Linked DNA regions of Saccharomyces cerevisiae S288C. The protein of the gene in region 4 interacts with the protein of the main gene of each other region in a biochemical or structural test. Each region holds a gene or a part of one and is shown on either strand. Other genes may lie near its edges. The genes, in order: ATG40, CCT2, APE1 and ATG8.

Evidence for each region.
Region 1: the proteins of ATG8 (region 4) and ATG40 are reported together in a solved structure, tested with the Saccharomyces cerevisiae proteins (2 studies listed by BioGRID, with this or other methods).
Region 2: the proteins of ATG8 (region 4) and CCT2 form a complex in vitro, tested with the Saccharomyces cerevisiae proteins (one study listed by BioGRID).
Region 3: the proteins of ATG8 (region 4) and APE1 form a complex in vitro, tested with the Saccharomyces cerevisiae proteins (one study listed by BioGRID).

What each region holds. Positions count from the first base shown.
Region 1 is NC_001147.6:616,524-620,043, reverse strand, and holds ATG40 (Atg40p), read left to right. Parts: upstream 1-1,755; coding exon 1,756-2,526; downstream 2,527-3,520. Other genes in the region: ATP-binding cassette multidrug transporter PDR5, read right to left, coding at 1-204; DNA-directed RNA polymerase II core subunit RPB2, read left to right, coding at 3,373-3,520. UniProt on the Saccharomyces cerevisiae protein: Acts as a receptor for reticulophagy. Directs autophagic sequestration of folded tubules/sheets derived from the cortical endoplasmic reticulum (cER) and the cytoplasmic endoplasmic reticulum (cytoER) into autophagosomes.
Region 2 is NC_001141.2:81,251-85,512, reverse strand, and holds CCT2 (chaperonin-containing T-complex subunit CCT2), read right to left. Parts: upstream 2,212-4,262; coding exon 628-2,211; downstream 1-627. Other genes in the region: AXL2 (Axl2p), read right to left, coding at 1-147; TFIIH/NER complex ATPase/helicase subunit SSL2, read left to right, coding at 2,472-4,262. UniProt on the Saccharomyces cerevisiae protein: Molecular chaperone; assists the folding of proteins upon ATP hydrolysis. Known to play a role, in vitro, in the folding of actin and tubulin. In yeast may play a role in mitotic spindle formation.
Region 3 is NC_001143.9:245,396-249,951, reverse strand, and holds APE1 (metalloaminopeptidase APE1), read left to right. Parts: upstream 1-2,269; coding exon 2,270-3,814; downstream 3,815-4,556. Other genes in the region: protein kinase HSL1, read right to left, coding at 1-1,032; YKL102C (uncharacterized protein), read left to right, coding at 1,585-1,890. UniProt on the Saccharomyces cerevisiae protein: Resident vacuolar enzyme that catalyzes the removal of amino acids from the N-terminus of peptides and proteins. Also acts as the major cargo protein of the cytoplasm-to-vacuole targeting (Cvt) pathway.
Region 4 is NC_001134.8:79,436-82,572, forward strand, and holds ATG8 (ubiquitin-like protein ATG8), read right to left. Parts: upstream 1,297-3,137; coding exon 943-1,296; downstream 1-942. Other genes in the region: NUP170 (Nup170p), read left to right, coding at 1-332; isoleucine--tRNA ligase ILS1, read right to left, coding at 1,608-3,137.

The DNA.
Region 1 (3,520 bases), on a different chromosome or scaffold from region 4:
AGCATCACTTTTGTTGGGTGCCGATTGAGTGGAGTTTTGCATACTCTGTGCGGTCAGAGTCCTTGCCAGTTTTTGGATTCGAGCTTCTGTATGCTCATCGAACCCATTATAATTGTGTAGATCAGCAGCGTTTTCAGTAGAAGAAGACGCGGAGGAGTAGCTAGTAACGTCGTTGACGTTATTGTTAAGCTTGGCCTCGGGCATTTTTGTCTAAAGTCTTTCGAACGAGCGGATACGAAAACTTAAAAGGGTCTTTAATTTCTTTTTCGAAAGTTCCTAGTTGCCAATTTATTTATAATTAGAATAACAAAGTCGAGTGATAACTAACACAGTTGTTATATGTTTGCAACTTTGCGTGACTTTTTTCTTTTGGATTTCATTCTAAGGTATGATAATAAAAGCGAACAGCCATAAGGTTATGCACATCACAATTATATATGTATAGGAGAGGCCTTGTTTGTATTGCTCAGATTACGTTCAACAGATATCGTACCACGGCGTAGAAGAGTTCCGCGGAGACATTTCTCTTTTTTTAGCACATTACCATAAGTAGGAATACAGATCTGACCTTTCCACGGAATCACGAGTCCAAAGGGTGCTGAATCGTGATCACGACCCGCGGGTGAGCCCACACTCACCGGAGTCTTAGTAAATCTGAAAATGTTGTGGCACCGCGGCATGAGCGATTCCGCGGAAAGAGAGGGGCAGTCTTAAGTTTCAGTCCACTCGTTCCGTGGGAAGCAATCGACCGAATGGTTCTCCACGGACGTTTTCTCGGCGGCAAGGTTGTGTCGTGATAATCGTTGCATAGATGTGATGGCTTCCTGCAACTTATCCTGTGCTCGAAGGCGCAGAATGCGAACGTTCGCGCTGAGGAACGTTCATGTTCTTTTATTAGTAAGATCATACGTGTGGTGTTGTTTTCCATTGAGTTCCACTCCTGATTGTGTGAAGTGATAAATGTTGTGTACTATGTAAGGGACTGCGCCAACGAGGTGCTGCTTTCTATTATGGCAAATTGTTGCGAGTATGGCTTAATTGTTTATTGTAATAGGTAATTTGATGTTCTTTTTTTTCTTTGATTTGAACTTTTGTTCTCTCTCTCAACTTTTTCTTTTCTTTGTCCTTGTTGATTAGATTGTGACGATAATTTCCTTATAATATCATTGTTGGAATCAAAGAGGAAGACATATTTACGTTAACGAACAAGTTCAGTGAACCATCTAAACATAGAAAGGGGTCCCAGAGAACGCTTCCTTTGTATGATATCTGAAATTTGTCTACTGCATTCAGGCTTATATATATGTGTGTGGTAGCGCCCAACGGAGAACCGTATATGACGGACTTTACTGTGTCACATTTCAGAAAAACAATAAGTGTTTTTCCCTTCCGTAAATAGCACATATTCATTCCTATATCGCCTCTCTGTTTTATGCTCTTTTTTCCCGGGCATTTATTATTACCCGGTATTTCCAAAGATGCGGTTACTGCCCGCGGGTATTGGGCCTCCCTTAATATGCATCGATTTTACTGTTTAAAATCGTACAAAAGATAATATGTGGAAACAACTTTCCTAAGCAGCGAAATACACGTGCAAGAGCAACGTTATATCATTTCGATTTCATTTAATTTGATCTGGCTCGACATTAGTATTTCAAATCGAGGATAAGATTTTTGTAGTGCTCTTTTTTTCTATCTTTTAGCTAAGGTTCCTAACGTTCTTTCTGCTGTGCTTCACTCCACCATAGAAAACTAATGTTTAATTTAATTTTATGGCCCTTATTTTTGCTTACCTCAGTTGCCATTCCTTTGCAGCTGACATTAGAAGTGGTCTATCTGACGTCTTCCGTTGACTTCTCAAAGGCAAGTGCTGCTAAAACCGCTACTTCTTTGGGTCAGTCCCCAGTTGTCATCACCATTTATAAATCACTGTTAAAATATTGGAGTCTTTACGAGTTCATACATTTTATTTACCTCTATACTCCTATTGATGCCTTTCTGAATTTCTTACCATTTACCTCTTTACTTATGTCGTTTGGAAGTATTTGCTTGACAAGAGAGCTGGTATATGACTTCATTGCCTTTATGGAATCTCAAAACAAGCTTACCGGATTCCTTAATAAGATAACAGAACCGAATTTTAACAGTTATTTACTGTTTTCTTCAATTTATAACATTTGGTTTGCAGATGACACCAATGACAAATTCTTATTCGGTAAATTAACTCAGATTTTAATATCTGTAACAAAAAGGTACGAATTTCCAAGAACATTCTACTTAGCAAAAGTTTCTGATTTCCTACAAAATCTCATTCTAACGAGATTGAGACCCTTTGTAACGGAGCAACCCCAAGGCGACAAAAATCGCTATCAAAACGGTGACCGTGAATCTACAAAGAATGGAGCTGCTTATCAGAAGTCTTCACAACAATCATCGTCTTTCGAACAAAATTTTACCAGCACTGAGTTCCCGAATGATTATGATTTTATGGAGGATATTCTAGATGAGACAACTGAATTGGATTAGAATAGTTTTTCCATTTTACCATAATGGTAGTCTATGAAGGTACCTAATTTTTCATAGACACAAAACAAAGTTCAGGCGACGAAACACAAAAATCGCCATATATATTTACGCATATGTATGCATTCTAGGAAACAGAAAAAAATAAATAATATAGTTCCTTCTTGTGACTTCCTCTCCAACCCGCCGCATAATCGTCGGCATGGTTAAACATGCTGTATCGGCTATTAAGGAAAGAAAGTATACATAAAAGAATGAAATAAAGTTGTCCAAATGGTGAAGAATTTAAAAAAATGCTACTTCGAGCTGCTACTATGAGTTTATAGGCTGAACATAGCATATAGCATTTCATAACTGCACTATAATTGAGGTTTCTCTGTTTTAAAAGCATAATCCCAAATAATTCTGAGTTGACAAAATAGCGGCCATCTTAAAATAATTTGTTACCCTGCTTGGCGTTCAAAATGATTTTTCACTTTTCTATTTTTTTTCATCCTCTCACTTTCGTAGTAGCTTTTGAAAAAGTGGCGAACAAACAAGAAGTGAGTTGTAATTCATGCAATAAGGAACTGACCACTACTTTTAGCAACCATAAAAGCTAGTGATTTGTCTAAGTAGGGAGCAGCTTTATAAAGTTAGGGTACTTGGATATTGCACTCATTCCTTCTCCTCAGGTTTACAGATAGTTCGAATAATTTTTGCTTATCGTATATTTCTTAAAGAAGAACCCAACAGTAAGGAACAAACATAAGGAACACGACAGCGGAATAAGACACTGTAGAAGCTCCGTATTATAAAAATTAGGACCAGAAAAAGAACACAAACAAGTATAGAAAAATAATTATAAGGATGTCAGACCTTGCAAACTCAGAAAAGTATTATGATGAGGACCCATATGGATTCGAGGATGAAAGTGCACCAATTACTGCAGAAGATTCGTGGGCTGTTATATCCGCTTTTTTTCGCGAGAAGGGGCTAGTTTCACAACAACTTGACT
Region 2 (4,262 bases), on a different chromosome or scaffold from region 4:
GGAAATTTGAAATGTAAACGATTCATTGACTCTTGCCACTGGGGGGTATTGTTTTCCGATAGGATATGCCTCATAGGGCGTGGCCACTACTAGATGGAGTAGTGATATAGTAGCTGTCAGCAATAATGAAATCTGAAGCTGTGTCATGGTAAGTGAATGCTTCTTGATATACGTAGATGTTGGAAGCAGGAAATCGTTTCGAGGAAGATATAATTTTTCTATTAAGTAATTGTTCTGTTCTTCTAGTGATGGTGGCTGTTGCAGTGTCAATCACTACAGGATGTGAGAGTAAAGAATAAGAAAATAAGTTCTCATATGAAAAGTGAAAATTACTCGACAAAGGAGGGCGACTCTCGGCAAGGAGCTTTGAGGTTGTGGAGATGCTATCTTTAACCATACCTACGATGGGTATTATTACATTCTTGAGACAGGGCTCGAGTACTGCTCGAAGAGGAAACATAAGTTGCCAAAATTTATTTGTGACGCGAATTGCCAAAAGTTCTATGACGCGTTGTTCTTTTTTTTTCGCGTCTTTGAATTATATAGTGGATAATTTTTGCGTTCTGTTTCTAATTATAATAATGACAGTGTGGCGGTTTATTATTTTCGAGGTATATCCTAAATATGTTACATATGTTGTCTATTGGCGGTTCTTGGTCTTGCACGGATGATGTTATCCACCCTTAGTAGAACTTCAGCGGCTTCAGATGCAGAGCTGACTACTGCTCGTTTTAGCTTGTAACTCTCGACGATACCTAACTGTCTCATGTCGGCAATGGTTCCGTTGTTGAGATCTAAACCTGAGGTGGAGATACCGTTGTATATGGAGGATCTTAGTTTGGACACAAGTTCGCTGCTGTCAAAACCAGCATTATCTGCCAAAATGGTTGGCAGTTGTCTCAGAGCACGGGCAAAAGCCTCCACGGCAAGGGACTTCTTTCCGTCGATGTTTTGAGCTTCGGTGTCCACAGCTTTTGACATGACCATCTCGGCGCAACCGCCGCCAAGAACAGTTCTTGTTTCCTTTGTGGTCTGTGACAACACGGACAATGCGTCATGCAGGGATCTCTCAGCTTCATCAAGCGTTTGGTCGGTAGCACCTCTTAGGACGATGGTACAAGCTTCACCAGCTTTGCAACCACTAAACTTCAAGAATGGCTGTTCACCAAGCATAATTTCCTCGATCACGTCACATTCTCCCAGTTTGCATTTACTTGGCTCGTCAAATGTAGACACCACCTCACCGCCTGTAACCAGGGCGAGCCTTTCTACACCTTCAAAATCAGCATGCTCAATTGAGTTTATGCCCAAATCTGTAAATAATTGCTCTGGATAGTCATAAATTAGTTGTCTATTGATGAAAGTGTTGATACCAAACTTGGAAATCTTGGCAATTTTATTCTTCATCTTTTCACGTTCTGCCTTTTCTAGTTGTGCCAATTTAGCAGTAGAATCGACTTTGAATTTGGTGCCGAATATTTTGACCTTGTCTGTATCCAAAGTTGTATTGGCGATTAGAATCTTAGCATTTTCAATTCTCTTGGGTTGGTTGTTACCAAATTTTTTGGCAAGAATGAAACCTTCGTCAAGGAACGAATCTGATAGCTTTCCACCAAGAATCTTAATGATCTGAATATGTTCTAAGTTAGTGGAGCCCTTCAATCTCAAAATAGCATTAGTTGCTAATTCTGCGAAGTGATCCTTATCCTGAGACAAAATTTTGGAAGATAAAGTAGTCTTGGCAATATGGATCAGATCTTCACGGAACATGGTCTTATCATGAGAGTTGTCAACAGCCGCTTTCGTTAACGCATCCAATGCGGCTGCTGAAGCTAGTCGGTAACCTTCAATAATAGTTTGAGGGTGGATTTTGGATTGATCAATCAACTTCTCTGCTTCTCTAAGCAACTCTGCGCTCAAAACAGTAACACTAGTGGTACCATCTCCAACTTCGTCATCCTGCACCTTACTGATGTTCACCAACACTTTGGCTGCGGGATTATCCAGCGGAATTGACTTCAGAATCGTAGCACCATCGTTTGTTACCATGCAAGTGTTACTGGACGCACTTTGCAATAATTTATCCATCCCTTTTGGGCCTAATGTGCTTTTCACCAAATCACCCACGGCAATGGCACCGACAAACGCCGACAAACGGGCGTTTTCCGCTCTTTCTTCTGTAACCTGGTCTCCAAATATCTGTACACTCATCCTGAATCTTTTGAGCTTTGTACGACTGACTCTTCTTGCCTATTTAATGGCCACCTTTCATCCTCTTTTTTATTGCTCTGCTCTTGTCTTTTAAACTCGCCACCGCGAAGAGAAAAAAATTTCAGATCGTTAGAAACGAGGTTTTTCTTCTAAGAAGTATAAGGAAAAAGGTCCTTAGTAAGGATAGATAATAGTAATGATATCTACATTATTTAGTAAAAGTAGCATCTACTGACGTTGGAATCAGTGGAAGATAAATCATGACGGACGTTGAAGGCTACCAACCTAAGAGCAAGGGGAAAATCTTTCCAGATATGGGTGAGTCCTTTTTCTCATCAGATGAGGATTCACCAGCTACTGATGCAGAGATCGATGAGAACTATGATGATAACAGGGAAACGTCAGAAGGACGTGGAGAAAGGGATACCGGCGCCATGGTAACAGGGTTGAAGAAGCCTCGGAAAAAGACCAAGAGTAGCAGGCATACAGCGGCGGATTCCTCTATGAATCAAATGGACGCTAAGGATAAAGCGCTTTTGCAGGACACTAATAGCGATATACCAGCAGATTTCGTTCCAGATTCCGTCTCTGGAATGTTCAGAAGCCATGACTTTAGTTATTTGCGGTTAAGACCAGACCATGCTTCCAGGCCCCTTTGGATCTCGCCAAGTGACGGTAGGATCATTCTGGAGAGTTTCTCTCCATTAGCAGAACAGGCTCAGGACTTTCTGGTCACCATTGCAGAGCCTATAAGTAGACCCTCCCATATTCATGAATACAAGATCACAGCATACTCTTTGTATGCAGCTGTTTCTGTAGGGTTGGAGACGGATGATATCATTTCAGTTCTGGATAGATTATCCAAAGTACCCGTTGCTGAATCGATAATCAACTTCATTAAAGGGGCTACCATTTCATACGGTAAAGTGAAACTAGTTATTAAGCATAATAGATATTTCGTGGAGACTACACAAGCAGATATTCTGCAAATGTTGCTGAATGATTCCGTCATCGGGCCCCTAAGAATAGATAGCGATCATCAAGTACAGCCACCAGAGGATGTACTACAGCAACAACTTCAGCAAACCGCTGGAAAACCCGCTACTAATGTTAATCCGAACGATGTGGAAGCCGTGTTTAGTGCAGTTATAGGTGGTGATAATGAGCGGGAAGAAGAAGATGATGATATTGATGCCGTTCACTCCTTTGAAATTGCCAATGAGTCTGTTGAAGTCGTAAAGAAAAGATGTCAAGAAATCGATTATCCCGTGTTGGAAGAATACGACTTTAGAAACGACCATAGAAACCCGGATTTAGATATTGATTTGAAACCTTCCACTCAAATCAGACCCTATCAAGAAAAATCGCTGAGTAAAATGTTTGGTAATGGGCGTGCTCGTTCAGGGATTATTGTTTTGCCATGTGGCGCAGGTAAAACTTTGGTCGGTATTACCGCAGCATGTACTATAAAAAAATCCGTAATTGTTTTATGTACTTCATCAGTCTCCGTCATGCAATGGAGGCAGCAATTTTTACAATGGTGTACCTTACAACCTGAAAATTGTGCTGTTTTCACCTCTGATAATAAGGAAATGTTCCAGACAGAATCCGGTTTGGTTGTTTCCACTTATTCAATGGTGGCAAACACAAGAAACAGGTCTCATGATTCACAAAAAGTTATGGATTTCTTGACCGGTAGGGAATGGGGGTTCATTATTCTTGACGAAGTTCATGTGGTGCCCGCCGCAATGTTCCGTAGGGTGGTCTCCACCATCGCAGCACACGCCAAATTGGGACTGACCGCAACGCTGGTTAGAGAAGATGATAAAATTGGTGATCTGAATTTTTTAATTGGTCCAAAACTTTATGAAGCAAATTGGATGGAATTATCCCAAAAAGGACATATTGCAAATGTCCAATGTGCAGAGGTTTGGTGTCCCATGACAGCAGAATTTTACCAAGAGTATTTAAGAGAAACTGCAAGGAAAAGAATGCTACTGTATATCATGAATCCAACAAAGTTTCAGGCATGCCAATTCTTAATTCAATAT
Region 3 (4,556 bases), on a different chromosome or scaffold from region 4:
ATCACGAGCCTCAGAAGATAAATTTGAGGGCATTTGATATTTGCCCGATTGAACTTTCAACAACAGCTTTTTGATGTTGTCATCATTAAATGGTAAATGACCGGTGAGTAATGCAAATAAAACGATACCGCAGGACCAGACATCGCTAGGACCGCCATGATATGGTCTACCCATAACAATTTCAGGAGACGCATAGTGTGGAGAGCCACATGAAGTTTTTAAAAGTTTATTAGGAAGCTCTAATGCTGCCATGCCGAAATCAGCAATTTTGATTCTCCTATTCTTTTTATCTAATAATAAATTTTCAGGCTTCAGATCACGATGGCATATATTAAAAGAATGACAATAGGAAACACCTTCAACTATCTGCTTGAAGTAATGGATAGCCTCCCTTTCAGGTAGCTTTCCCTTCGAGACCAGATAATCGAATAATTCGCCACCATCAACATATTCCAAAACTAGGTACAGCTCTGATTTGTTCTCCCAAACTTCAAACAATGCCATAACGTTTGTGTGAGATATCAATTTCATGATTACTATTTCTCTCTCTATGCCATATGGGTTCGTTTGAGAATGGTTACTATGTTCTCTAGATGCTATTGATGGAGAAGATACATTGGAAGTGACCATGGAAGAAGAGTAAGAATTAGGAACAGTTCCATTATTAGAACAATGAACAAAGGCTTTCTTCTTGGGGACAATTTTAATGGCAGCTAATTGTCCTGTTTCCATATTTTTAGCCAAGCGAACCCTACCAGAAGATCCCTTCCCCAATGTTTTGCCAAGTTTCCAAGGACCCACCGTGTCTCTGGATTTTCTCTTTGATGATTTTGTAGCAACACTTACGGTAGAGTCGGGCTGAGATAATCTTTTGGTAGCGTCGTTCACAGATTGTACAACACGCTCCAAATGCCCCGACGCCCTTTTTGGATTCGAATTTACTTTGGCCATGGCCCTTTTAGCTGCCTTCTTGGCCAATGAAGACGGGCGACCTTTGGGTACGTGGCTCGTTTTTGAAACGTGACCAGTCATGTCGTGTGGTAAAAATAAAAAATATTAATAACAAATAATAAAGGAGTGAATATAGTTGGTTGTTGATTTATTTATCAGTATTTTTTGTCCCGCAAATCTATGTCGTTCTTTTTACCTTGTCTTTCTTGTAATTTTATTATTTATCTCTTTTCGCGATTAGTAGCAAGTAGTATGATGGATATCCAACCTATTTGATGATCTATTTGAGTTCAACTCTCTGTTTTAATGGCCTCTCGCTGTCCAATTTACGTCCTTGCAGTCGGATAACTAGCGAACTTACGATCCAAAGGGAGTTTTAAGAAGAAACAGGTTTCGAGCAAAAGGTAACTTGCTTATATTAAGAACGCCAATAAGAGTGGCCACTATAATGCTGCTCCCAGCCGGTACAAGACGGTACGGTACGTGATGGAGATTAGTTTTCACTATTTAGCCCAAACAACCCAACGCGAAAATGACCACGCGAAAAGAAAAATTAGTAAAAATATTTCACAACGCGAAAAATAAGGACGAAGGCAACACATTCCACCTTCCCTGTTATTGTAAAACGCACAAATGTGTGCTTTATTCGCTGAGGTTTCATCGACAGCTGCAGCCAGTTGTTCATTCGGTGTTCTCTTGTGCAGCGGCTCAAATTGTGGCAGGCTTGTAGGCTCCGAACGCCGTAAGGTACTTTATGTTTTTAATGTCAACGTTTGCAAGAAAATGTCATCCTATTACTTTCTGAGGCATGATAACATTGTAATCCCTTATCTCTTGCGCTTGTTGGTATCAGATAAAGAAGCATCAAACAAGAACCCACTCCTTCCTTTTCTCATGGATAAAGAGAGGTCGCACCATTTCGTGAGGAATATGAATTAGTCAGCTTCTACTTTAGGGTATAGGTTGCAAACTTCCGTTTTTCTCAAGGTTTAATCAGAAGCATAATAGGTCTTCGGATGATTTCTTGTCTAATTCAAAAAAAAAATAATCTGGGATAGGTTTTTCGGGAAAAACAACTAGGGGTGATGCTGTTTTGCACCTCTATTACTGTAAGATAGGCTATGCAAGCAAACGACAGTAAGAAAGAATAGGGTTAAGTGAAATAGTTGACACACCCCTTAATCGTTCCATTAGATAATAAAAATTCATTTATAAGCAGTTGACTTCACAGAACAAGACATACACTGTATAGAGCCTGATCAGTAATCTTAGTGCAATTGTAGAAACCTGCACAACCAACAAAATTAAGAAAAAAAGAATGGAGGAACAACGTGAAATACTGGAACAATTGAAGAAAACTCTGCAGATGCTAACTGTAGAGCCATCTAAAAATAACCAAATCGCCAACGAAGAAAAGGAAAAGAAAGAAAATGAAAATTCGTGGTGCATCCTCGAGCACAATTATGAGGATATTGCACAGGAATTCATTGATTTCATTTACAAGAACCCTACCACTTACCATGTAGTATCATTTTTCGCGGAGCTGTTAGATAAGCATAACTTCAAATACTTGAGCGAGAAATCCAATTGGCAGGACTCCATTGGCGAAGATGGTGGGAAATTCTACACTATAAGAAATGGAACTAACCTATCTGCCTTTATCCTGGGCAAAAACTGGAGAGCCGAAAAGGGTGTCGGTGTCATTGGATCTCATGTGGACGCTTTGACGGTCAAATTGAAGCCCGTCTCCTTTAAAGACACAGCGGAAGGTTACGGAAGAATTGCTGTTGCTCCCTATGGAGGTACACTGAATGAATTGTGGCTAGACAGAGACCTAGGTATTGGTGGTCGCCTTCTTTACAAGAAGAAGGGCACTAACGAAATTAAAAGCGCCTTGGTTGATTCTACACCCCTACCTGTTTGTCGAATTCCTTCCTTGGCTCCCCATTTCGGTAAACCTGCTGAAGGCCCATTTGATAAAGAGGACCAAACTATCCCGGTCATCGGCTTCCCCACTCCGGATGAGGAAGGTAATGAACCTCCCACGGATGATGAAAAGAAATCGCCCTTATTTGGCAAACACTGCATCCACCTGTTAAGGTACGTTGCCAAATTAGCCGGTGTGGAAGTGTCCGAATTGATTCAAATGGATTTAGACTTATTCGATGTGCAAAAGGGTACCATTGGAGGTATTGGTAAACACTTCCTTTTTGCACCACGTCTAGATGACAGGTTGTGTAGTTTCGCAGCAATGATTGCTTTGATTTGCTACGCTAAGGATGTTAATACCGAGGAATCAGATTTATTCTCTACTGTCACTTTGTATGATAATGAAGAAATCGGATCGTTGACAAGACAAGGCGCAAAAGGTGGCTTGTTGGAGTCAGTGGTGGAACGCAGTTCTTCTGCATTCACTAAGAAACCGGTCGATTTGCATACGGTTTGGGCTAATTCCATCATCTTGTCCGCAGACGTCAACCACCTCTACAACCCAAACTTTCCTGAAGTCTATTTGAAGAATCATTTTCCAGTGCCTAATGTCGGAATCACTTTATCACTGGATCCTAACGGTCATATGGCCACAGATGTCGTAGGAACTGCCCTAGTAGAAGAATTAGCACGCCGCAATGGAGACAAAGTGCAATATTTCCAAATCAAAAACAACTCAAGATCAGGTGGTACTATCGGCCCATCATTGGCTTCTCAAACAGGTGCTCGTACCATAGACCTGGGAATTGCACAGTTGTCCATGCACAGCATCAGAGCTGCTACAGGGTCCAAGGATGTCGGATTAGGTGTTAAGTTCTTCAACGGATTTTTCAAGCACTGGAGATCAGTCTACGATGAATTCGGCGAGTTGTGATTTTGCCACACTCTTTTTATTTCTTTTGATTTCTGTTTCTTTATCCTTTTTCTAAAAATACTTTTATTTCGAATCAGGAAGAAAAGAAAAATGTATAAAAAAAAAAAAATAAAACACCACAATCGTCAAGATATAAATATCTATTTATAAATAAAACATCAAAAATACCTAAACCCCAAACATTCTACTAGGAAAGAATATTAACAGTAACCACGAACTATAAAAAATGCATTTGAACACCAATGTGGGCCTTGACAGCCGTATTAGATGAAACAAACCACATACTTTTCTTGATTAGCCAAGCATTCTTTCTTTTGTGACGCCGTCGATCACTCAAATATCAATCCGGGTAACGCGCGGCTCCCTACATTTTCTTCGATTTTTATCTTTTTTTCACAAATCGAAAACATTAGACTTCCTCTTTGGGAAATCGGATGCATTTTAGCGTTTCTGAGGCGACTTTTCCTCTTCTTAAAATATTTATTTAGTGTCTTACATTCGACCCTTTTCGCCTTTCTGCTTTATTTTTGGAACACGTACTTCTTTTCGCTTACAAGAAAGCATTCTCAGTCATCCATCACACTTATTTTCACTGCAAAGTTACAGAACCGGTGTCCTTTCCAACATCATAGTTATATAGTTGAGAAAAAGTGGACAAAAAGCCAGCATAAACAAGGAATAACTGTATTTCTTTTCTTATATAGTTATCAGGGCCAAATAAGCAATAAGTTCTCGAGCAAAT
Region 4 (3,137 bases):
TTGTCTGTAATTTTTTCTACGAAACACTACCTAAGGAACATATTGTATCAGGGTCGATAGTTTCTATATTCATAACAGCGGGTGTTTCTTTCAACAAAATGTACTATATTTTAAAAGAACTAATCGAGACATCAGATTCCGATAATTCCGTATTTAATAAAGAAATGACCTGGTTAATTCACGAATGGTACAAATCGGACAGGAAATTTAGGGACATTATTTCCTACAACGATATCATTCACTTGAAGGAATACAAAATTGATAATGATCCAATTGAAAAGTACGTTAAGAACAGCGGCAATAATTTGGGGATTTGTTTCTACAAAGAATAAAAATTCATGTTCGACATATAGATAGCAGGGTAATGTACGTGTATATTTTAATGTAATAAAGAGGCCTTACTAGACGGTAAAGTTAAGAATATCGAGTGAACTTTTCCTTAAGATAAAGGTAAATATAGTCGAGTATTTATTTATTATTCTTTTCCACTATACAGTATTTAAAATTCTGTAAGAAATTGATTCTACATACATAAGACAAACGAACAGGTCAGAGAGAATCAGATTTTTGGTTAGCAAGAATACATTTTGGAGAAGAAAGACATTAACTCCACCTTACTGTATCATCTTATTTGCTTTTTCACTCCTTCCTAATATTTTTTTTATTTTATTTTGAATTTCTTCCTATTTCTGATGCATTGAACAGATCGTAATCTGTAAGTAAATACCATAACGTGCTCACATTTGTCTCCAAATACTGGTGAAATCTTGGCTCCGTTGTGTACAAAACTTCTTAATGAATATATATATATTTTTCCCTTATTTTATCTTTTTTTTTCGAATTTTTTATGTAAACATTCTTATACTGGAACAATAGATGGCTAATGAGTCCCTATAATTTCGATTTTAGATGTTAACGCTTCATTTCTTTTCATATAAAAGACTACCTGCCAAATGTATTTTCTCCTGAGTAAGTGACATACAAAAACCCGTCCTTATCCTTGTGTTCTTGATATATGGCAGACATCAACGCCGCAGTAGGTGGCAAAGTATCATTGACAAAAATGAAGATGGCCTTCTCAGGGGGTAGCATAATTCTCTTTCTTATAACATAAACAAATTGCCCTACGGTAAGGTCAGCAGGAACTAGATATTTACGCTTATCAATCTCTGGAATATCTGACTTTTCAGCTTTTTCGCAAATCACAGGTATCCTATTCTTGAACCTGTCAGCAATCCTCTCCGACTCCGCCTTCCTTTTTTCAAATGGATATTCAGACTTAAATGTAGACTTCATGTCTCTAGTAATTATTTTATTATGATTTTCTCAACTTTACAATTATTAGATTCTCTTATCAATCCCCTCCTCAACCTTTAATGGTTCCCCTTTTTGTATTTCCATAATTATACCAAATATTTTTGCCGCCGCCGAAAATAACCGGCCTCCGGGTGATGATATATCATGTGCTATGATTTCACGGGTATTATACAACATTATCGGTGGAGACAGTTAGCATTACATGACTCTAACTTAAACGTAAACTTACACATATACATCTATATCACTTCGAGTAGAGAAAAATTTGTACGTATTTATATGAGTTGTTTTCATAATTTGAACACTTTTAATTTGAAAATGGTGTCATTAATAGATTGTTCTTCATCACCAATTGGGTCTGTCTTTGAGCCGTCATATTTGGCAATGTCGGATCTACAGGTCTTGCTTAACATATCAAAATGTTCTTTGACAATGGCTTCAAAGTCGATAGTATCTTTAACTAATTCGTACTCCACTAAAACATCGTCGGTGGCTTCCAAACCACACTTCTTTCTCAATTTTTGGATTCTGTTGACCAGCTCTCTTGCGAGACCTTCACTCTTTAGTTCAGAGTAAATATTTGTATCCATGATGATTAACACGTCTTGGTCGGTTCTGGTTTCTTGTCCAGCTTGGACAGCAGATTCTGGCAAGCCTCTAATAGCATTCAAATCTCCTTTAACCAGTTCAATACCGGCAACCTCCAACTTTCCGCTTTCCAAATATTCCCGTACTTGCTCAGAAGTGACTGATGGTAGGGCATCTTTAACCTTCTTTGCGTCTTTTTTCAACTTCTTACCCAATACAGGCCAATCAGCAACTGCTTTATACTCAACACCATATTTTGCCTCATCGGAGGTGATAACAACATCACGAACATTTAATTCCTCGATAATGTAGTTTTTCAAGGCTTCTACATCCTTCAAGTATGATTCATCACTGTGAAGGATGACCAAAGTCTTCAATGGAGTTTTTAAGGAAATAGTTTTCTTTTCACGAATGTTTCTACCCAAATCGATAACGGATTGCATTCTAGAAACTGCAGTTTCGATGGCCTCGTCAAAGTATTCTTTCTTGACCACTGGGTAAGATAAGAAATGGACTGATCTTCCGTCCTTACCGTATTTTGCTAAGACAGCTTCTGGGATGTATTCCTTCAGTCTCAAATAAATGCTTTCTGACAAAAATGGGGTGAATGGAGCCATGGCACGGACAAATGTGAATAAGGCATCGAATAAAGAATTTAATGCTTTCAAACAGTCCTCAACACCGTTTTCACCCTTCAAACGACGACGATTAAATCTAATATACCAGTTTGTCAATTCATCAATGAAATTCAAAAGTTTTGGAACGACAGTGTATAATTTGTACTGACCCATTTCTTCGTGAATGAATTGTACTAGAGATTGCATAGAAGCTAAAATCCATCTGTCCATGACATTATCACTTTTCACAGAATCATCATATTGGAAGTCGATGTTAGACATCTTTTTCAACAAGGCAATTTGACCGTCCAAAAATTTAAAGGAGTTCCACCATGGTAGTAAGACCTTTGAAACAACCTCCTTAACACCCTCTTCTTTGAATTTCAAACTTTCAGCTTTTAAAACAGGTGAGTTTATCAAGTACAATCTTAATGCATCCGCACCATATTTGTTCAGAACAATGGATGGATCAGGGTAATTTTTCAAGGATTTAGACATCTTTCTACCATCGGCAGCTAAGACAATACCAGAGACGATGACGTTCTTGTATGGAACAGAGCCAAATAGATGGGTACCTAAGACAGCTAACGTGTAGAACCAACCTCTTGTTTGATC